Linked DNA regions of Sus scrofa. The protein of the gene in region 5 interacts with the protein of the main gene of each other region in a biochemical or structural test. Links are inferred from orthologs where the notes say so. Each region holds a gene or a part of one and is shown on either strand. Other genes may lie near its edges. The genes, in order: HRK, VDAC1, PMAIP1, SIVA1 and BCL2L1.

Region 1 (3,675 bases), on a different chromosome or scaffold from region 5:
ACTCCTCCCGGTGGGCCTCGCTAGCCGCGTAGGTCCTCCCCGCGCCCGAGCGCAGACGGACGCGCTCCGTCCTTCCCGCGCGCCCCCGCGGAGGTCTCGGGCCACCTCCCATCTCCCCGGCGGCGGCCTCCTCCTGAGGACCCTGGAGCGCCCCTAGCCCCAACGCGCACACTTGGGCTGTGGCTGGGCACTCTCCAGTCCATGGGTAGGACGCCCAGCCTCCCGCACCGTCTGGTCCTGAGAAGGGAGCGCTTCCCCCACCTAGCCTGGGCCCCAAGACTGGAGGAAATGGTGTCCTAGCCCTTCTCCCCGTTTGTACTGGATTCCTCACGCTTCCCATTTTTCTAATCCCCGTTCCCACTATCTTGTCTTGCAAGAAGCCTCTTTCTCCAGCTCCCGCCACTTTCTTTCCTCGTCTAACCACCCGTTCTTTCTATCCCTCCTCTCCCACCTTCTTTCCGCTTTTCCCTAAATTACACACTTTGGGCGTCGCGTCTTGCTTGACTACCTCTTTCGGCCCTCCCTCCCCCGCTCCGTCCCATCCAAAATGTTTCTGTCCCTAGGATCCGGGGCAGACCTAACTTGGTCCACTGAGGCGGAGGGCAGCCCCGGGCCTCTCTTCAGGGAGGAGGAGAAGCGCATGGGATCTCTGGGAGCCGGGCAAAGAGCGCCCTGAAGCGCACACCTCTCTCAGGCAGCGCCAGGGCTGCGCCGGCCCACGCGACATCTGTCGCCCGCGCTCCCGGCTCACACCCCGCGCACCCCCGCAGCTTCCCGGGCGCTGCCACCCCCCACGCTCCGGCTGCCGCCTCTCCCTGCGGGCGCCGCGCCAGCTTCCTATGGTGTTGGCTCACGGTGGGACTCGGCCGAGACCCGAGCGCTTGGCATCTGTGAGCCATGGCATCCCGGGGCTGGGTTTCTCACCTTCGACCTTCAGCTTCCGGCCCTGGACCCACCTTTGGTGGGCTCAGCCCTGTTCTCTCCACCCCCATTCTCTTCAGCTCTTTGAGAATCTGAAGACAATGCTTACACGTTTGCCCCCTTTAAGCGCCCTAGCACAGTGTCAGGCGCACAGCTGGTGCTCAGTAATTCCCCAAGGCCTAGGGGCCTAGTATACAGTAGGTGCTTAGTACTTTTTTCCCACTGGTACCAAACGGCTAGGCGCGCAATACTCACTCCCCACCCCCACAACCTATCCTACTGCAGGCTCTTAACAGGGCCTCGAACCCAAAGTGAGCACAGTTAATGCTCTTTCTTAAAGGCTTCCCCCTGGAGTTTCCCGAAAAGTCTGAGATCCCACATCACTTAGGGGGCATCTCCTTCATCTCAGCTCCCTCTATCCCGCGAAGAGGAGGGCAAGCTCCTTAAAAGGGACACCTCGCTGGAGAAGGAGTGAAGTTGGCAGAGCGGAGGAAAACTGCAAAGTTTTAGGGAGAAAGACGGAGGGGGAGGAAGTCACGAGATGCGCTTGGGGCGCGGGAGGACGAGCAACAGAAACTGGAGAAGTGATACTTAGGGAGAAGGAGGTTTGGGGCGGAGGTGATGGAGAGGGTGGCGAGTTAGGAACGGCAGGCGGCTTGGAAGAGGACCGAGGACTCGTCTTGAAACCGCGATAGTTTATAATGCGTTGGCGTGGCCTGTAACTCTGTTCTCATAGCAAGCACACTTTTAATTTGCATTGTGTGTTTGTTTGAAGGGGTGATGAGGCTTACGGAGGCTGAAGTCCTTCCAAAGCCACTCGGATGGAGGGAGTGGCAAGATGCTCTTAAGGAGTCGGAGAGAAGGGGCAGCAGCGGTGGACTCGGTAGGTACTTGGAAGGAGAGATGGGATCTCCCAAGGAGAGGGACAGAGATCCTTGCGAAAGAATGGAGCAGAGGAAGAGGAGATGGGAAGGGAAGAGAGCTAAACTTGCGGTTCTCCAGCTCCCAACCCAGCCCCAGGTCTCCAATCCCCCAGCTGCCGCGCCCTGGCGGTCGCTTGCTCACGTACCTGTTGCTCGCTCCGGCTGGGTCTCGGCTCCGGCCCCACCATGAAGCCCCGCGTTCCTACAAGTTCCGCCTGCCGAGCAGCCAGGCTGCCAGCGCCGCCACCTGCGCGGCCGCGCACAGCCAGGGCCAGTAGGTGGGGAGCGCGCCGGGCGCCGGCGCCCTCCGGCTCCGCGCGCTGCGCCGCCACATGGTGCGCTGGTGCAGCTCGTCGCCGAGCGCCTTGAGCCGGGCGGCAGTGAGCTGCGCGGCGGAGGAGCGCAGACCCAGGCGGCTCGCGCTGCAAGCGCACACGGCTGGGGGGCCGCGGCCGCGGTGCAGGGGGCACGGACACATGACCGCTCGCCTCGGTCCCTCCCCGCGTCGGGCCGCCCCTCGCCTCCTCTCGCTTCGGCCTCTGCGCCTGCCTCCGCCGCGCTCCAGCCGCCGGGGGCCTACCCTGGACACCAAGTTTCTCCTTGTGTTGTGCGTTTGTTGTGCTGACGGCGCTATTATTAATTAAAGTGTCACATGGTGGAGGGGGGCGGGGAGGGCGCGGGGAGGGGGGTTACATCATCCGGCCCCCCGGGGGTGGGGGGGCTGCAGGCAGAAGAAACCGAGAGGTAACTTTTAACCCTAGCGGCGCCGGCCGCGAGGGGGTTTTCGGGTTGGGAAGCGAGGAGCGCGGGGCTCTGGGACGCGGGAAAGCACCCGGCTGCGGGGCTCTCGGGCTTGGGGGTCGCGGGAGACCCCCGCGGAGGCGGGGAGCGCCAGGGAAGATTTTCTCTCCGTTTTTTCTGAATTCAGCTTCAATTCCGATTTGGCGAGAGGAGTAGGCTTGTTTGCCGTTTTGGATGAAGCTGATATCGAATTCAGCTGCATTATTCAAAAAATGTTCCGAGGCTATTGTTTTGTTTGGGGCGGTAGGTCGATTCAAAATCTCATGAGAGGGCCAGATTCAACCCAATTTGCTTACTTTCAGGTCTGACTCCGCACCTGTAGGTTGCGGATCAGCCGATACACACCCGACTCCCCATCTAAGTTAGGGTGGATGAGAGACTCTAAAGAGCCCCTAGCTCCCCTAGAAACGTTGATGGACGCAGGGGTGAGGAGGGTTAGGGAGTCGGCCCTTAGCCTCAGCGATTCGCAAGCACACCGCGCTTCAATCCCAAAGACCCTCGCAAGGGGTTTTCCAGAAGGAACTTTGTTTTGTTTGCTCCCTTTGTGAATTTTATTTGCCTGTTGGGGTTAATGATCCGGATTTAATGCTCAGTGGAGACTCTTAAGGGATTGGTGGGGTCGAGGATGCGGGGTGCAGGGGACTTCAGCCCCTTTCTCTCCAATCGTAGAATGGTTTTATACTGTCCCCATGCTCCTCCAGACTAGAAAACGTGAAGTTGTCTCTGCTGGTGAAGGAATAGAAGGGCGAGGGGCTCTTAGGATTCTTTGGGGAGCAAGTGAGACTTTCACCTGTCTTCAAAGCACTGGGATTCAGAAAATTGGAGGATCTCAGAGGTGGCTCCAAGCCAGCCTCCTAGGTCCTGATAAGGCAGCTCTGAGCCTCTTCTTCCCACCAGCAGAGTGCTGCCACTTGGAAAAGATTCTTCAAGAGTGTGAATTTAGAATGGGTCTGACTTTATCATGGAGAGATTTCTGCTTGGCCTGCAACTTGGTCAGAGCTCAGATCCCAGCCCTGCCCTGTGATCCTGG
Region 2 (4,106 bases), on a different chromosome or scaffold from region 5:
GTGGGATCTGAGCCATGTCTGCAACCTACACTGTTGCTCATGGCAACACTGGATTCTTCACCCACTGAGCAAGGCCAAGGATCGAACCTGCATCCTCATGGATGTTAGTCAGATTCGTTAGCCACTGAGCCACAACGGGAACTCCCCGCCTTTCCTCCTGATAACCAACAAGTCTGATCTGTGTGTGGCCCCAGGGCCTGGAGCAAAAAAAGGCAGCCTCTGGAGCCACCTTGTAGTTAAGACCACATGCTCTCAGTGTCCCTAAGTAAGAAGGTGGGGAAAGGGCCATCAAGCCTAAGAAAGGGGGCTGGCCACAGGGACCCATTAGCCCCTGCTTCCCAGCGCCACCCCCTGGCCTTGGCTACTCACATTACCAGCAGCCTCAGTCCCAGGGAATGCAGCATTCCTGGACCAGAAATCCTGCAGCCTCCAAGCTGAGGCCAGCAGAACAATCACAGCACAGAATCTCACTATAAAACACAGCTAGGAATTCCCATCGTGGCGCAGTGGTTAACAAATCCGACTAGGAACCATGAGGTGAACTCAGTGGCTTAAGGATCCGGCGATGCCATGAGCTGTGGTCTAGGTCGCAGACACGGCTCGGATCCCACGTGGCTGTGGCCCTGGCGCAGGCCAGTGGCTACAGCTCCGATTCGACCCCTAGCCTGGGAACCTCTATATGCCACGGGTGTGGCCCTAGAAATGGCAAAGAAAAATAAAGAAATTAAATTAAATAAAAAAAGACACGGCTAGCTGTCCTTAGGGAGACGGTGGATGAGATTCTTACCCAGTGTTCGGTGAGAAGGATGAATCAAAGGTCAGCTTCAGTCCACGGGCAAGCTGAACAGAGAAGAAATTCGCCAGCAGGGTTAGTCACGAGACGGGCCGGCAGCCGCCCCTCAGTCACACCGCGTCTTTGGCGAGTTACCTGATCTTCCACGGTAATCTCCGTGCCCAGGGTGTTGTCGGTGTTCCACTTCTCTGTAAACGTCAGACCATATTCGGTCCATCTGTACTTGGTTTCCAGACTGCCCGTCACTTTGGTGGTCTCCGTGTTGGCTGAACCTGAGCTTGTAAATTCCTTTAAAAAAAAGAAAGAGGGTCACGGCCTGCATGCCAACGCTTCATTCTGCATCACGCCCCCCCTAAATGTTGGGAGCCCCGCAGCAAGTCCACGCCACCCCTACGTGGCCTCTGTTCTCCTTTAAGCAAGAGGTGACACCTTGCATGCGTGCAGGAAAAGCCTCACTCGATAATTCAATGAGATATTTCAAGTACAGATGGAGCCGGCTAATGAAAGGAATCTTACAGGGAATTCTTTTACTGGCCGTGCCCGAGGCATGCGAAAGTTCCCAGGCCAGGGACTGAACCGGTGCCACAGCAGTGGCCCGGAGCTGCTGCAGTGACAATGCCACATCCTTAACCTACTGCGCCACAAGGGAACTCCACTACAGAGAATTCTTTATCAGGACACGGCTTCCTTCCTCCCCTGTTAACGCTTCAGTCTGGACAGGAAGGCAATCCTTCCATCCCGCCTCCAGCCTAGAGAGAAAAAGCTTTTGAGCTAAAGCTGACGTGGCAGGAATTCAACCCGAAGTATCCTTCTTCGAACAATTACCACATGTACAATCTAAAAGAGACTAAGGTTTTTGTTTTAGGCATTCCCTTTGCGGCTCAGCAGTAATGAATCCGACTAGGAACCATAAGGTTGCAGGTTTGATCCCTGGCCTGGCTCAGTGGGTTAAGGATCCGGCGTTGCCGTGAGCTGTGGTGCAGGTTGCAGATGCCGCTCGGATCTGGCGTTGCTGTGGCTGTGGTGTAGGCCAGCAGCTACAACTCCAATTGGACCCCTAGCCTGGGAACTTCCATATGCCGTGGGTGTGGCCCTAAAAAAAAGCAAAAAAAGATTTTAAGTAATCACATGGTATGGAACAGAGGCTGATTCTGAAATAAGACGCATAAGGAAAAATAAAACTGAAGCCTGCCCCATATTCCTACTAGAATCCAGCTGAAGAAGTGGGGACCTGGTCACATGGTTCCCCTGGACCACAAATCCTACAAAGGATGCAATGCAAAGGACAGCTACAAGCTGCCACAATCAGAAGAGTCCCTTTGTTGGTCACCCCGAAGGAAGTTATTTTTTATATACTGATCTGCATAAATACCCATGCTCCGCGTGGGCCAGACAACTTACCAGTCCATTCTCAGATTTTGTTTTCAAATCAAGTTTTATTAGGCCAAATCCTAAAGAGAGGAGATGGTAGCTATTAGCAGGTTAAATAACTCACTCGAAAACAGCATCCCCGCCTCCCTCGGTCTGCTTTAACACGCTCTGAGTGTGAGGGCACCAGTCACCACTGCTGCGTGTGTTGGGGGGGGGCTGGTTGCCATGGAACCGTGGCCGACAGAACAGGCCCAGGCCCCACCTGCACGCCCAGCGGAGTCTGAGAAGAAGGTGCATGACCGCGTGGGCACATGTCTAAGGACAAGCTAAATTTAGAAGCTGCAATCCACTGCAGCGGCAGCCACAGACCTGCTCCCTGCCTGCGAGAGGAAACAAGAACGCCCGCTTGTTGGCAGCAATGTGCAAGCCCACCTGCACTGGGTGCACAACCACAACTGCTCGGCCAGCCGTAGAAGGCTTATCTTTTTTTCCCTGACATGAAAGGTCTGAGAGCGAGCTGACCCCAGTCTCTCAAACTCTGATGGGCAAAATCCCAAACATGCCACCCCCGCCTCCGAGCTGGAAGGCCACTCCGTGCGACACTCACCATAGCCCTTGGTGAAGACATCCCTGGCAGACTTGCCAAGATCGGCATACGTAGGAGGCACAGCCATCTTCTGCTGCCAGAAAAAAACCACCAAAATAAACACATTGGTAATTTCGGCTATGAGTTTCCACCAATAAAAATCATCAGCACTGAGTTCCCCCAGTGGCAGGCGGAGAGGCCTGTGCTGGCTGCTGCTTCTTTTTGTGACCAGAGCTTAAAATGCCCAATAAGTTTTATTGAGAGCAAACCAGCCTGACTTTTGGGGTTTGGGTTTTTGGTTTTTTTTTTTCTAGTTTTTTTGTTTGTTTGTTTGCTTTTTAGGGGCACACCGGCAGCATATGGAGGTTCCCAGGCTAGGGGTCTAATCGGAGCTGTAGCCCCCAGCCTACACCAGAGCCACAGCAATGCCAGATCTGAGCCACATCTGTGACCTACACCACAGCTCACGGCAACGCCGGATCCTTAACCCACTGAGTGAGGCCAGGGATCGAACCTGCATCCTCCTGGATGGTAGTCAGTTTCGTGAACCGCTGAGCCACAGCGGGAACGCCCAGCCTGACTTTGGACCTCTTCTCCTAGGCATCCCTGGGACTGAGCACAGGCCCAGAAGACGGGAGGAGTCAGGCAACATCAGCTAAATGAATTCACTGTCAAAGATGCATTCCCAGAAGGCAGCTACTTCACTCGACGGCAGGACTCTTGCCAATATAACGTATCTTCTTACAAAATATCGACTGCCAGGACATTAATACAACAAATAGAAATCAGAGCTTTTCAGAACAACTGATTTTCCCTAAGATTCGAATTTCATTCATTCAACAAATATTTATGGAGTCCCTACTGCGAGTCAGAATGGACCCAAATTACCCCAAAACTTGCATTTTACAGGAATCAACAGGGATATCATATTCTGCACTGAGAAAACAAACAAACAAAAAAAAAAACTGGAGTTCCTGTCCCAGCTTAGCAGTAACAAACCTGACCAGGATCCATGAGGACATGGGTTCGATCCCTGGCCTTGCTCAGTGGGTTAAGGATCTGGCGTTGCCGTGAGCCGTGGTGTGGGTCGCAGATACTGCTCGGATCCCACATTGCTGTGGCTGTGACGTAGGCCAGCAGCTGCAGCTCCAATTGGACCCCTAGCCTGGGCACTTCCATATGCCGTGGGTGTGGCCTTAAAAAGCAAAAAAAGAAAAAAACCAACAATAAAACCTAAGTAGGCAACTCTTCATAGGGAAGGAAATGCAACCACATCCCCCTCAAATTTGATTCAAACAAAAATTTATTGAATTCCATGATGACTTCATTTTTAAAACCAATTATCAAAGTACTACT
Region 3 (4,238 bases), on a different chromosome or scaffold from region 5:
AAAGTTATCCTGACAACATTGCAAACGGCAACCAGCAAGAGTTAAAACGTTCATCCCAGAGACAAGTTGAGTGTTTATCCCAGCGTTTACCTTTTAAGCACACTTGTTTTCTAAAATGTGAGAAAGGCTACTTGCTGCCCCTCTCAAACACACACACGTGACATACACCAATACACGGTGATTCATAAACAACCAAAAGTTAAAGAATAAAGACATTTATTTTGCAATCCTGGATGAGGCAAATGTTATCTTACTTTCAAATATAGACATTTATGTCACACACCACAAACAGCAAGCCTTTGCCAACCCAACTGATGTCATCCTTTTCTTTCTCATTTAAAATTGGTTAGAGACAAGTCAAATTCTAAATTCTTCTATGTTGTTTTTGAGTATAATTTATTTTGTAAATGGCAACCAATAATTCATAGCTCAAATTATGCCCTCATACTAGGCAAATCTAAATGTATTCTTAGCCTCATGAAATTTTCTCTTGAAGGATTCATAAAATCTTATTCCAAAATGAAGTCCACATTTTCTAAAATAATTATAAGTTTACACATGAGTCTAAGCCAAAGTCTCCCCAAACTGTACCAATCCATTGCCTTTATGGAGATAAGTGAAGCACAAAATAAGTAATATTTAATTCATATACTTACTACTTTTTAAGATATTGTATGGGGGGGAATCTTTATAATCTAATTTCCAAGTGAACTTTTTAAGTAGATGGAATTAACACCAAATCTATACTGGTCATAATTTCAATTTTCTTGGATATTTCCAAGAACAATTCCGCTTCTTTTTGGTTCAATTCAACATCATGATTATAAACACTAAAAATTATGACTGTAAGTTAAAATCTGATTTATTTTATAAGCAGACCCTGCAGATAGCCTATTTAGGCTCAGATAAACAAAAACTGTAAATATATATTAAAGTGGATTTTTAAACCTACATTTCAACCAATTTATCTTTTCCTAAGAGCTGAGTTAAATTTTCATAATTCCTAAAAAAAAAAACTTTATATAATCTCTGAGACCTAATAAATCTCTTGTAAGCTATCTTTCTTTATAGGCTACGGCGTCAAGCATTTGGAGAAGTATCTACAAAGACATGTTTTTTTCAGTGAGTGGAATATATTAACATGCTATCCTAAAAAACAAAAACAGAAACAAATTATCACTTAGCATACAATTTTGGAAGCCCTGAATTGTAAGAGGAAAAACTATCCCTTTCATTAAAAAGGGCAGATAATAGCACCTAGTTCTTTCCTTTTTGTTTTTTACATCTATAAATGTATTAATTTTTTGTTACATCTATAAATGTATTAATAAAAAATGTAACTGTGTGGTGATCGATGTTAACTAAACTTACTGTGGTAATCATGTCATAGTACACACATATATCAAATCATGGTGTACATCTAAAACTAATACAATGTTACATGTCACTTATACCTTAATTTTGGTTTTGTTTGTTTTTTTGTTGTTTTTACTGTATTACTGTCTAACCAAGTTTAAGAGGGACCTTTCTGCTGTCTCTTATTAATAGGGAGTAAGTCGGCTCTTGAAGATGATGGGAAATTTTTTGAAACATGGCCAGATTTCTGGGCCAGCACAAAAGACGGGCAAAGTTTCTTCCCTCCCAAGCAAGAGTCAAGAGAGCAGCCTGGTGCCAGCTTTGCCATGACCACACGGGCAATGCACCACTTCCTTTGAGCGGTCCATGGGCTCTAAAAAGTTAAACTAAGTATAAAACGGCCTATTACCATCTGATGTAACAGCAGTATGACCCACACAGATTTCCAGCTCAGAGACTTATTTGCCTTCTTTGCAACTGCTCCTTAGGAGCAGATGGCTGCTCCATTTGATAAGATTTATAAGGAAACCGACCTTAAATTATTTGATGAGGTACACGGATGGGGAAGGGCAGAGGAACGGGTGGATTGAAAAACATTGCGGACCAACTCCTGTTCTCCTACCCCATTTCTGCAGCTAATATCGATTGTTAAAATGTTACACTTCTAACAAAGAAGAAAAACTTTCTATTATCCTGATTTCACCAGTCCTTGTGGGACCTCCAACCCCTCCGTCAGTTTTTTGTGGAAGGCCTGTGATAGTATCAAGCATTATTACTGCCTGGGGTAGGGGGGTAAGGCTCAAAAGATCCAGAATACGGGAGGGAGAGGGCCTCCCTCAGAAAACGCTGGGAGGCCAGGAAGCTCCTGGAGCCTCTCTCGGCCCCACCCGCCATGGCAATGACTTTCTCCGCGTGGCTGGCGCCCGTACTTGCTCTTTTTCTTCCCATGGCCCAGGGGCAGAACAAGTGGGGATGGGAAAGCTGATCTCAGCATCCTCTGAAATGCTGCTGCATCCCAACCCTAAGCCGGACTCCCTCCCTGGTCATATCCACGGTCCGCGGTTAAACCCCTAAAGAACTTCCTGCCGGCGCCCCTAAAACATGTGCAAGGGCACAGCGCCGGCCTGACCTTGAGGCCCGGCGCACATGGGGTGACTCCGCCCGGACCGAGACCTCGACCCCAGCCTCCGCCCCGGGTCAGGATCTCCGCGGGCCCCAGCTGCTCTCTACCTGGCGGGAGGGCCACCCGCGTAGGGTTCGTCTGAGTGTTCCTACGAGACCTCCTTCCAGGCATCTCCGCAAACAGCAGCCGGAACTTTGCCGCAAAACTCCGAGAACTCAGTCCCCGGACCCGAGCACCTTGGCTCTGCAGGTAGCAGGCTGCGCGCGGGGCGGTCGGGCAGAAGCGAGCAAGCGGGAGAGAGCTAGAAAAGCAACACCCTGAACGCCCAAAAGCCTCTGAGGTTGGCGCTCCCGCCGCTGCCCGCGCTCCGACCTAATGGGGACTTCCCAGTGACGTAGAGAAACTTGACGCCGGGCCCGCCCCTGTCCCCGCCCCCTCGGACCAGCGCGCAAAGGGGCGGGGGGAGCGAGTAACTGGCCCAGCGCAGCGCGCGGTGCAGCGCGACCCGCCGGGACCCGCTGGCGACCTGCGGCGGCGCCGATCCGCGGCGGGGGGCGCCGGGAGCTTGGCGGGAGAGGCAAGGCCCAGCCTGGAAATTACTTCCTTGACAAACGAGTCAGCTGCAGACTTGTCGGGGTGTAGGAGTCGCGAGCGGAGAAAGGTTCTCCTAGCAGAAGGTTGGGGATGGGGAATCCTGGAGCTTCGTCCTTATCAGAAATGGGCAATTAGCGACGTCTGTAAACAAACCCCGAAAAGAGTTTAGAAGAGGACAGTTTTCAAACTCCGAGAACTTAGGAAGTTTCTGGGACGTGAAATGAAGAAAACTTTAATAACCATAGAGATGGTACCAGAAGCCAAGTGAGAAAAGTACCAGATTGAAACTGAAACTATTGGGAAATTGTTGCAAATTGAAAACTCGGAGCACGCGAGCAAACACTTTAGATTTGGGAGGGGGAGGGAATGTGAATGAGGGAGGGGGCTAACTAATTCACGGCTGGGTTGAAAAAGTAGAGCGTTTATTCCCCATGGGTCTCCTGACCATTGTAGATGTTTAGTAACACAAAAAAAGAGTAGGTCATCGTGTAGAAAACTTTCAATGCTTTGGTGGAGGAAAGAATGAGGAATCTGGGAATAGGAAGTTATTTGCACGATGTTTGGCTGGCACTTGAATACTTTTGTTTTTGTAAAAAGGAGGAGTCATTTGGAATGGTCATAGGTATTGAGGACCCCTTCATGCTAAGGGATTCCGCAGGCATTTCCTATTCTGTCCTCAGAACTACCCTACCAAGCTGGCATTCTTAGCATCGTGTGGCCACTTTAGATCGTGTGGTTCAAAAGCTGAAATTTGCAGAGATCGAGTTGCCTCAGCTCACACAGGCAGAGATCAGTGGCAGAATCTGAACCCTGGCAGGCCCATACCGAGCAAGCCCTCTTACCCACTGCCGCCTTACCAGGAATCAGTGTTTTAGAAAAAGAGTGTTCTTTTATTATCTGCCCTGAATAATGCAGAGGCTGTAAATTGGTTGCTTAGAGCTCCATGACTTTCTAGAAGTGCTTGGTTTGGTTCTCCGTATTGGTCTACCAGATGTCTTGTGAAAATTCGAATTGGTTTTCCAACATTTAAAAATGGAGAGATTACATTAAAAGTCCAGATTTCTGGCTTCCTTTAGGAAATCATTAGTTCCTGACAACGCAGGATCCGTTTTCCTAAAGAGCAGAGCGGGCTGGAGGCTGCCATTCCCCGTAGAGAGACATTGGG
Region 4 (4,010 bases), on a different chromosome or scaffold from region 5:
GGCTCTGCAAGGAAGAACACCTGTCAGCCCAAAGGGACCCAGAGTGCTGGGGGCCCCCAACTCCCCACCTGAGAACGAGGCGACCCTCCTCCCGCACCTGACCTACCATGAGGTGCTCCGGACAACCGGTGCGTGAGCACAGCACACAGCCGGTTTCACCAGGGAGGGCGCCCGGTGCCCGGACCCCCGCCCCACGGCTCCCGACGGCTGGTGCCAGTGTCCCTTCTGCGGCTCGGGGGAGCACAGAGGTTCCTGCACCACCCAGACTGGGGGTGAGGGAGTTTCTAACCAGCAACCCAGGTGACAGTCTGGGATGCACACCACGCTGCGCAGGGACCCAAATAGCCTCTCCCCACCTAGACGGGACCCAGTGCCCGCCGGCCCAGGTAGGAAACACACTGAGAATAAAGGGAACGCCCTTGCCATGTCCCAAGCGCACCTGCAGGGCCCCACTCACCAGCTTCAGAGGCCTGGGCTCGGCTCCTGGTCAGTCGGCCGTCGGGCCCGATGAGCATCTGCCCCCGCGAGGCCCGAGGGGCTTCCGTGGGGCCGGGCTTCGGGGATTCCGGCAGGTCAACGGTGGCACAGCCCTCCTCCCACGCGTGGTCCATGTAGGCCTGGGCCCCTCGGAAGAGGAGCTGGGTGGTCTTCTCTGGGGAAGAGGAGTCACTCCTCCGTTTCCACCCCGCACAGCCTCCTTGTCCTGTGGGCTGCGCCCAGCCAGGCCTCGGAGCTGTCATCCAGCCACCAGGACAACGCTGTGCCCTGGCGAGCTGGGTCCCACCTTCCCCTCCTGCCTGGGCTCAGCGGCCACCTCCTCCAGGAAGGCTCTGGACTCCGCAAGCCCCTCCGGGCTCCTCTCCTGTCACTCTGCTCGTTTTCCACACGGTGGCCTCACATGCTTGCTGTCCCTTTCGGCCTTCGCACCCAGCAGCCAGCTTCGTTCCTGTGCAGCACCCAGCCCCGGCTGGTACACACCCCTTCCCCGACCTTGGAGCTGCGGGCCAAAGACATGGCAGCAACGGGCTCCTGACAAGTACTCCAGAATTCTCGAGACCTCTGTGGGTCCTGGACAGACAGTCCCACCCTCGGAGCTGAGGTGGTGTCTCAGCACCTAGAGCAGTGGCTTTCCATCAGGGCTGGGGGCTTTCGCAGGGTCAAATGCCAGGCGCCAGCCCCAGAAATGCATTGTCTGTGGTTCTCTGCCGTATCCCAACAGAGCCAGGGAGGCGCGCTTAGAAGCTGGCAGCGCTCTGTGACTGACAGAAACGAGCTGCTGGGTGACAGAGCTTGAGTGGCTGGTGACAGCCCCAGCACCCTCCCCCTTGGAGCAGGATGGGAGGATTGAGGGGAAACCAGCCCCCCCCCTCCAAGGCCTGTGGTCCATCAAGATAAAGAGGCCACGGTCAGGCTTGGCATTCACTACCCCTGAGTTCACACAGGCCACCTTAGGTCCTGCCCTCGGGAAATGTCCGGGAAGCCCAGCAACCCCCCCCCCCCCCACGGGCCTGTGAGGGACAAGCCCCTGCAAACCTTGACACTGTGGTCAAGGAAGGTCAAAAACCAGCCTGACTTAATCCCTATCAACTTTTAATTCTTCCGCCTGCAGTGTTTACGTTTTTTGACTGTCCAGGGCGGGAATAACGGTTGAGCACCCACAGCTTCACTCATTTCTATTGCCTGCGTGGCCTCGGAAAGGATTTGCATTTGCAACCCCAGTGTGCAAGGAAAAAAGGCAGAGCAGCTGCTGAGGGGGGCGGTGGGCTGGGCTGGGGGAGCAGGAGAGAGAGAAGCAGGGTCTCCCCCGGCTAGGCTCTTCCCCACACCCCTAAAGCACAGCAGCATCGCTCAATTACAAACACTCCGGCCACAAACCTCGGGCCCTCAACCACCAGATAAAGCAAACTCCACGGTGGATGAACCACCCCAGAGGGGTGATCAACAGCACCCGTGCACCTAAAAATCGGCATGACCCAGTCAGACGAGAAGGCCTCCGAGCTCGCTGCCCTCACAGGTCTGACCTGGACAGTCCAGCTACCCTGAGCCCTGCTGCACTCTGCTGCTTCCTGGTTTTCGCGTAGGCTGTTCCCTCTGCCTGCAATTCCCTTCCTCTCCCTCTCTGCCTGCCTATCTCTGCAGGACTCTCTTTCTCCATGAGACCACTGACAGCCTGCAGGTGGTCCTGCAGCACCCCGTCGCTGCCCTGATGACCTCTGGCACGTCCTTCTCTGGCAGGTCCCCCCACTAGACTGGGAGGCAGGGTCTCCTGCGCAGCTGCAGCGCCTGGCAGAGAAGGCGCGCTCCAGAAATACGTCTGGGGTTAGAATGGGTACTGCTGCGGACTTGTTCCACCAGGACATCCCCCTCCCCGGCCTCCAAGTGCGCCTGAGGGATCTCAGTGCTGGTCGGACCAGGGCTGGTTACCGCGCGAGTCCGGCATCCCCACAAGACACAGCCCCGACTCGACACCACGCGGTTCAGAGAGGTGGGGGTGGCAGGGGACAGGAGGTAGCGTACAAGGGCTTACTCAGGACGCCCTACTCATTGCTCCCAAACCCCAGTCGGACAGCTAGCTCCGGACCCCCGGCTCCAGGGGGCGCGGCCCGCGGGGCCCGCCTGCCCCGGCCCCGCTTCGCAGCGAGAAACCCCTCAACCCGGCACTCACCGAAAATCTCCCGAGTGAGGCGCTCGGCGCACACGCCGCGACTCAGCTCCCTCTGGCCCACACGAACCTTGAGCTGTAGCGGGGCCGCGTCCGCGAAGGGGCAGCCCCGCTTGGGCATGGCCGCGGGCCCGGAGCGGCTCGGCTCGGCGGCCGCGCCTGGCCCGCCAGCGACGTCACGGCCGCGCGCCAACCCCCGCGAGGGGCGGGGGCGGGGCTCCTGCACGGCGCGACGCGGGATAGGCAGGGAGCGAGGGCGGGGCGGGGCTCGTGCGCGGCGCGACGCGGGATAGGCCGGAGCGAGGGCGGGGCGGGGCTCGTGCGCCGGGAGGCGGGACTCGGCGGCGCGGGAAAGTCCAGCAGAGGTCAAGGGTCGCAGTGGGCGCGCCGGGGGCGGGACTCGCGTTAGGCGCAGCCTGCAATAGGTCGGAGGCGAGATGGGGGTGGGACTCGTATGAGGCGGCACGTAAGGGCGGGCGTGCTGGGTTTTCTTTGTTGTTGCTCCCAAACAGCTCCGGAAGCTCTTATACGTCCTCGCATAAATCACTCAAAGTTCGAGGATGAGCCACTTTTCTTCAGTTTGGAGGAATTCCCCGCCCTCAAGAAGTGCAGAGTGAGGCCTTAACGCCCCGGGCACACTTCAGGGGCCGCCTCGCGGGCCCTACTTCCCCCTGCGGGGCAGGCAGGTGCCCTCCGCCGCACGAAGGTGCCTTTATACAGCCGAGTCATCGGGCTCCAGCCTGGCCACGACCCGAGCCCAGCTCCGCCTCGGCGGGCCAGCCACCCACTCAGCCTTCGACCGGCCAGCTCCCCTGTGGCCTGGATTTCCGGTGACGTGGCCGAGCCTTACAGGCCGAGTCCCACGTGACTCTACGTCACAGCCTGGAACCATCCCCGCGGGGAATGGGGCGGGACCAGTCTCTGATCACGTGGTCCTCGCTGCCTCTGCCTGGGTCCAGGGAGACCAGCTGACGGAGGGGGGCTGGAGACCTGTCTTCCTTGCTGCGTCGCCGGCCAGCCTGTGCACTGCTCTCGTAAGGATTCTACAGTCAGTTGTACCCGAACAGACGCTTGGCTTGTTGTATACGGGAAATAGATGAAACCCCGGAGTGTTGTTTTTAATCTTACATGTCTTGGGAATTTTATTTATTTATTTTTTATTTTTTTTTTACTACTCAATGAATTTATCACATCTGTAGTCGTATAATGATCACCACAATGTTTAAAAAATTTCACCTTTAGATTTGAAAGTGCCTTAAAGCTCTTTTAAGATACAATAAATAAATGCAAAACATTGTGATTAAAAGAGAACTTTGGTGGAGATCCCCTCCTGGCTCAGTGGGCTAAG
Region 5 (4,242 bases):
CAGTGGGAACTCCCTGCCTGGTCATGCCAACTCTGAAACACAGGGGACTCCATCTGGGGGAGGGAAGCCCAGGACAGGATTGACATCCCAGGGGGAGTAAGACTGAAGGGACTGGTGGGTCACTGATACCGTCTCCTGCAGGTGTTACCCTTAGCGAGGGGAGCCATTACGTCAGGGTCAGGGAAACACCGGACTAACCCGCCACCCGCAAAGGTTTGGGGCCCAATGAACACACAGGCTATGTTTTCCTCTGCAGAGAAATTGGACACAAGTCTGAAAGGGTAGGGTCATGGGGATGACCAGAACGAAGCTGTCTGGTCCTTGCAGAACTAGGTCATCTGTATTTCAGGACAGTTAGCGTCTTGTGCTGCAGTGAGGCCAGTCACATCTCCTTAACAAACAACATCTCCAATAATCACACAGCGCGACAGAAAGAGGTACAGAGGAAAGGCTGTTGGGGATCTGACCTGAGACCAAGGAACAGGGACACCACAAGGGGCGTGGTCCTTACCCAGCCGCCGTTCTCCTGGATCCAAGGCTCTAGGTGGTCATTCAGGTAAGTGGCCATCCAAGTTGCGATCCGACTCACCAATACCTGCATCTCCTTGTCTACGCTCTCCACGCACAGTGCCCCACCGAAGGAGAAAAAGGCCACAATGCGACCCCAGTTCACCCCATCCCGGAAGAGTTCGTTCACTACCTGCTCAAAGCTCTGATACGCTGTCCCTGGGGTGATGTGGAGCTGGGACGTCAGGTCACTGAATGCCCTCCGGTACCTCAGTTCAAACTCATCGCCCGCCTCCCTCAGCGCTTGCTTCACTGCAGCCATGGGGATCACCTCCCGGGCATCCAAGCTGCTGCTGTGGCCAGTGGCTCCATTCACCGCGGGGCTGTCCGCCAGGTGCCAGGATGGGTTGCCATTGATGGCACTAGGGGTTTCCGCTTCTGATTCAGTCCCTTCTGGGGCCTCAGTTCTGTTCTCTTCCACATCAGTAAACTGACTCCAGCTGTATCCTTTCTGGGAAAGCTTGTAGGAGAGAAAGTCAACCACCAGCTCCCGGTTGCTCTGAGACATTTTTATAATAGGGATGGGCTCCACCAGTCCATTGTCCAAAACACCTGCTCACTCACTGAGTCTGGTCTCTGCTTAGTGGTTCTCTTCTGAGATCCAAAGCCAAGATAAGGTTCTGAAGGGAGAGAAAGAGCTTCAGAAAAAAAAAAAAAAAAAAATTAACATGCATGCCATTTACCCTGCAACATCCATTCCCCCTCCAGGTACCAGAATGGGGTCTTTTGTGGCTCTTAGGAAGGTCTGGGTCTGGCTTCCAAGGGACTTCAATAAAGTCAAATTGAAAGCACCAGTGGGCTCTGAATCATCACACCGGCCTTTAAGCCTCAGCCACCCCCTTTTCTCCGAAATGTCTTCCTCGGAAAGTCACCCCCATGGGCAGTCTGTCCCCCACCCCCCACCCCCGCACCACCTACATTCAAATCCGTCTCAGGCGACCGGCAGGCAGGTGCAGCCCCCGGAAGATCTTTTGTATCAGAGGTCGGGAGAGGAGGTGGCAGCCGGGATGCCGGTAACTCAGCCGGCCTCGCGGCGGCTGGCAAAAAAAGCAGCTCCGGCTGGAGGGATCATGCGACCCGGCAGACTGAGAGCCCAGAAGGCGATACAGGAATTACGAAGCTCAGGAACCGGCCCCCTCGCCTGCTTCCTCCTCCATCGCCCAGATCGAGGGCGGCCGCTTCAGCAGCCGCGGCCCGGGAGCCCAGCCCCCTTGCTCTTGCACGCCCCTTGGCTCTCCGCCTCCTACTGGGAGCCAGGAGAACTCTCCCGGAGGTGGCTGGTGTGAGATTTAGTTTTTGTTTTTCTTCTATTTAAGTACCAGCCCAGGGTGAGGTTTACTGAAACCCTAAAGGGACTTCTCAATGGGGCTCAAGGTTTCGATGAGGGACGGAGGGAGGGGGAAACTGCCTCGTATCTGCGGTCTGACTTCGGAAAGGCCATCCCCGGGCCTTTCAGGGAGGCGGAAAGCCGGGGACCCCCCAGAAACGCTGCTGGCTTTCTCTGAATTCCCCAAAGGCCCTGGTCGTGGCGGTGGGGGGCTGCCGGGTCCTCCATTCCCCGCACGGACACAATGGCCGCCGGCGCCCGGCACAAAGACTGGGCGAGGGTGAGGCGCCGGGCCTCTCCTCGGGTCAGGGAGAATGGGCGAGGCCTCCTCGAGGCCCCCCCACAGCTGAAACCACGTTCTCCTGTGGACAGGCCCAGGGTGGCTTCCTCGCGCCCTGGCGAGGGTTTAGAGGCAGGGGTCTGCACCTCTCCCGAGCCCAGGGTGGGTGGGCTGCGGACTCGCGGCTCCCTCCGCGCGCTAGGCCGGGTACCCGCCCGGCCACCGCCCCGTTGCTAGGCAACCGCTCTCCCTCTGGGGCGCCCCCTAGACCTTTCTGGGAGGAGGGGTCTCGCCCCCGGCGGCCCGCCCCAGCGCGGCCAATCAGCGAGCCCAGGTGGCACGGAAGCAGGACGGCGAGGGCTCCCATTGGGCGCAGCGCCTGCCACGCACAGGGGAGGCGGCGCTCTCACCTGCGAGCCCCGCGAGCCATGGGGGGCCACATCCCCCATTCATCGGCCAGGTAGTTTCCAGACGCGACCGCTCTTCGCGGCAGAGTTCTGCGCCGCGGACCTGGGCCGGCCTACCTGGCTGGTGGCTCGCGCTGTCTCTTCCGAACGAGCCGGCCTCAGTTTCCCCTGAAGAGACCGGGGGAACTTGCAACCTCAGTCACTTCCGGTGCCGCGGCAGCGCGCGCGAGCCCGAGACGCAAGGGGAGTGCGCGCCTTTAAGTACTGGCGTCAAGACCTTGGCGAGAGCGCCCCCTTGCGGTAGAGCTGGGGAATCCGGAGACAAAAAAGGATAAACGTTTACATTCACGTTTCCATTCATTCATTCATTTAGCCAGTTTCATCCACTGGTTAGTTTATATGTCGAAAAAGCATCGCGTCGTGGCAAGAATCTTGTGTCTGGGATTCCAACCTTGCTAACTGGGAAAGTTACTCAACCGCTGTGTCTCGATTATCCTTAACCGTACGTAATGTGAGTAAAAACCAATCTCCCTCATTGAGTTACTGTGATTGATTTGAGTTGTTCTTTGTGAAGTCTATGGTACATGCTGCATAATTTCATTTAGCAAATGTTTATTGTTTGGGTTGCTGAAAATGGAGTTAGGAACAAGACACGGCCCATGTTTTCATAGAGGCTTAAACCCTTGAGATGGAGAGAGTAAACAACTAAGAAAACAAACAAGGTAATTTCAGATAGTGACTAGTGCTCTGAACAAAGCAAATCAGGGTATTGTCGTAAAGAGGGTGAAGAAAGAGGTGCTCCTTTAGAGTGGGTGGTCAGGGATGTAAGCCTCGCCCTCCCTGCCCAGTGAGGAAGAGGGACATTTTTTTCTTTTTTTTTTTTTTTAGAGCCGCACCTGCAGCATATGGAAGTTCCCTGGCTAGGGGTCGAATCAGAGCTGCAGCTGCTGGCCTACGCCACAGCCACAGCAATGCTGGATCCTTATCCCCCTGAGTGAGACCAGGGATCCAACTCCCATTCCCACAGATACTAGTCAGGTTCTTAAGCCACTCAGCCACAGTGGGAACTCCAAGAGAGTCATTTTTTTCAAGTGTTCTTTCAATTGTTTGTGTAGGGTGCCAGGGATGGCCTCTTCAAAGGGATAACTTAGAACCGAAGATCTGAAGTGTAAGGAAATGCCACCCGTCGGAAGAGTTTAGAGAACATCAGCCTAGGCAGAGGATATAGCTTGCGCAAAGTGTCCTGAGGCAGGAAGATCTTGGGATGTTTTAGAAGCTGAAGGAGAAGCAGTGTGACCAAAGGAGGGCAAATGTGTTATGAGAGGTCATTGGTTGGAAAGTTGACCATGGAAGTGAATTAATCAATTAATTTTGTGGTAATTTAATTGATTAAAAATAGGATATTGGAGGAGTTCCCACTGTGGCTCAGCGGGTTAAGCGTCCATGAGGATTTGGGTTCAGTCAATGGGTGAAGGATCCGGCATTGCCAGAGCTGCAGTGTAGGTCGCAGATGTAGCTCAGATCTGGCATTACTGCGGCTGTAACATAGGCTGGCAGCTGCAGTGCTGATTCGACCTTGAGCCTGGGAACTTCCATATGCTGCAGCTGAGTCCCTAAAAAGAAAAAATAATAATAAAAATAAAAAAGATATGAAAAATATA

The links.
Region 1: the proteins of BCL2L1 (region 5) and HRK interact in a biophysical measurement, tested with the Homo sapiens proteins (3 studies listed by BioGRID and IntAct, with this or other methods). The link is inferred for Sus scrofa from reciprocal best matches to the Homo sapiens genes BCL2L1 and HRK.
Region 2: the proteins of BCL2L1 (region 5) and VDAC1 form a complex in vitro, tested with the Homo sapiens proteins (4 studies listed by BioGRID). The link is inferred for Sus scrofa from reciprocal best matches to the Homo sapiens genes BCL2L1 and VDAC1.
Region 3: the proteins of BCL2L1 (region 5) and PMAIP1 interact in a biophysical measurement, tested with the Homo sapiens proteins (3 studies listed by BioGRID and IntAct, with this or other methods). The link is inferred for Sus scrofa from reciprocal best matches to the Homo sapiens genes BCL2L1 and PMAIP1.
Region 4: the proteins of BCL2L1 (region 5) and SIVA1 form a complex in vitro, tested with the Homo sapiens proteins (2 studies listed by BioGRID and IntAct). The link is inferred for Sus scrofa from reciprocal best matches to the Homo sapiens genes BCL2L1 and SIVA1.

The regions. Positions count from the first base shown.
Region 1 is NC_010456.5:35,611,722-35,615,396, reverse strand, and holds the start of HRK (activator of apoptosis harakiri), read right to left. Parts: upstream 2,478-3,675; 5' UTR 2,323-2,477; coding exon 2,047-2,322; 3' UTR 1,991-2,046; intron 1,805-1,990; coding exon of another isoform or gene 1,760-1,804; exon of another isoform or gene 1,672-1,759; intron 1-1,671. UniProt on the Homo sapiens protein: Promotes apoptosis.
Region 2 is NC_010444.4:136,317,771-136,321,876, forward strand, and holds the start of VDAC1 (voltage-dependent anion-selective channel protein 1), read right to left. Parts: upstream 2,839-4,106; coding exon 2,772-2,838; intron 2,245-2,771; coding exon 2,195-2,244; intron 1,082-2,194; coding exon 929-1,081; intron 841-928; coding exon 788-840; intron 1-787. UniProt on the Homo sapiens protein: Non-selective voltage-gated ion channel that mediates the transport of anions and cations through the mitochondrion outer membrane and plasma membrane.
Region 3 is NC_010443.5:161,185,312-161,189,549, forward strand, and holds the start of PMAIP1 (phorbol-12-myristate-13-acetate-induced protein 1), read right to left. Parts: upstream 2,828-4,238; 5' UTR 2,651-2,827; coding exon 2,587-2,650; intron 1-2,586. UniProt on the Homo sapiens protein: Promotes activation of caspases and apoptosis. Promotes mitochondrial membrane changes and efflux of apoptogenic proteins from the mitochondria. Contributes to p53/TP53-dependent apoptosis after radiation exposure. Promotes proteasomal degradation of MCL1.
Region 4 is NW_018084979.1:3,028,624-3,032,633, reverse strand, and holds the start of SIVA1 (apoptosis regulatory protein Siva), read right to left. Parts: upstream 2,853-4,010; 5' UTR 2,784-2,852; coding exon 2,666-2,783; intron 653-2,665; coding exon 458-652; intron 5-457; coding exon 1-4. UniProt on the Homo sapiens protein: Induces CD27-mediated apoptosis. Inhibits BCL2L1 isoform Bcl-x(L) anti-apoptotic activity. Inhibits activation of NF-kappa-B and promotes T-cell receptor-mediated apoptosis.
Region 5 is NC_010459.5:35,412,966-35,417,207, forward strand, and holds the start of BCL2L1 (bcl-2-like protein 1), read right to left. Parts: upstream 2,832-4,242; 5' UTR 2,699-2,831; exon of another isoform or gene 2,585-2,698; intron 2,467-2,584; exon of another isoform or gene 1,486-2,466; intron 1,408-1,485; exon of another isoform or gene 1,280-1,407; intron 1,206-1,279; 5' UTR 1,076-1,205; coding exon 512-1,075; intron 1-511. UniProt on the Homo sapiens protein: Potent inhibitor of cell death. Inhibits activation of caspases. Appears to regulate cell death by blocking the voltage-dependent anion channel (VDAC) by binding to it and preventing the release of the caspase activator, CYC1, from the mitochondrial membrane.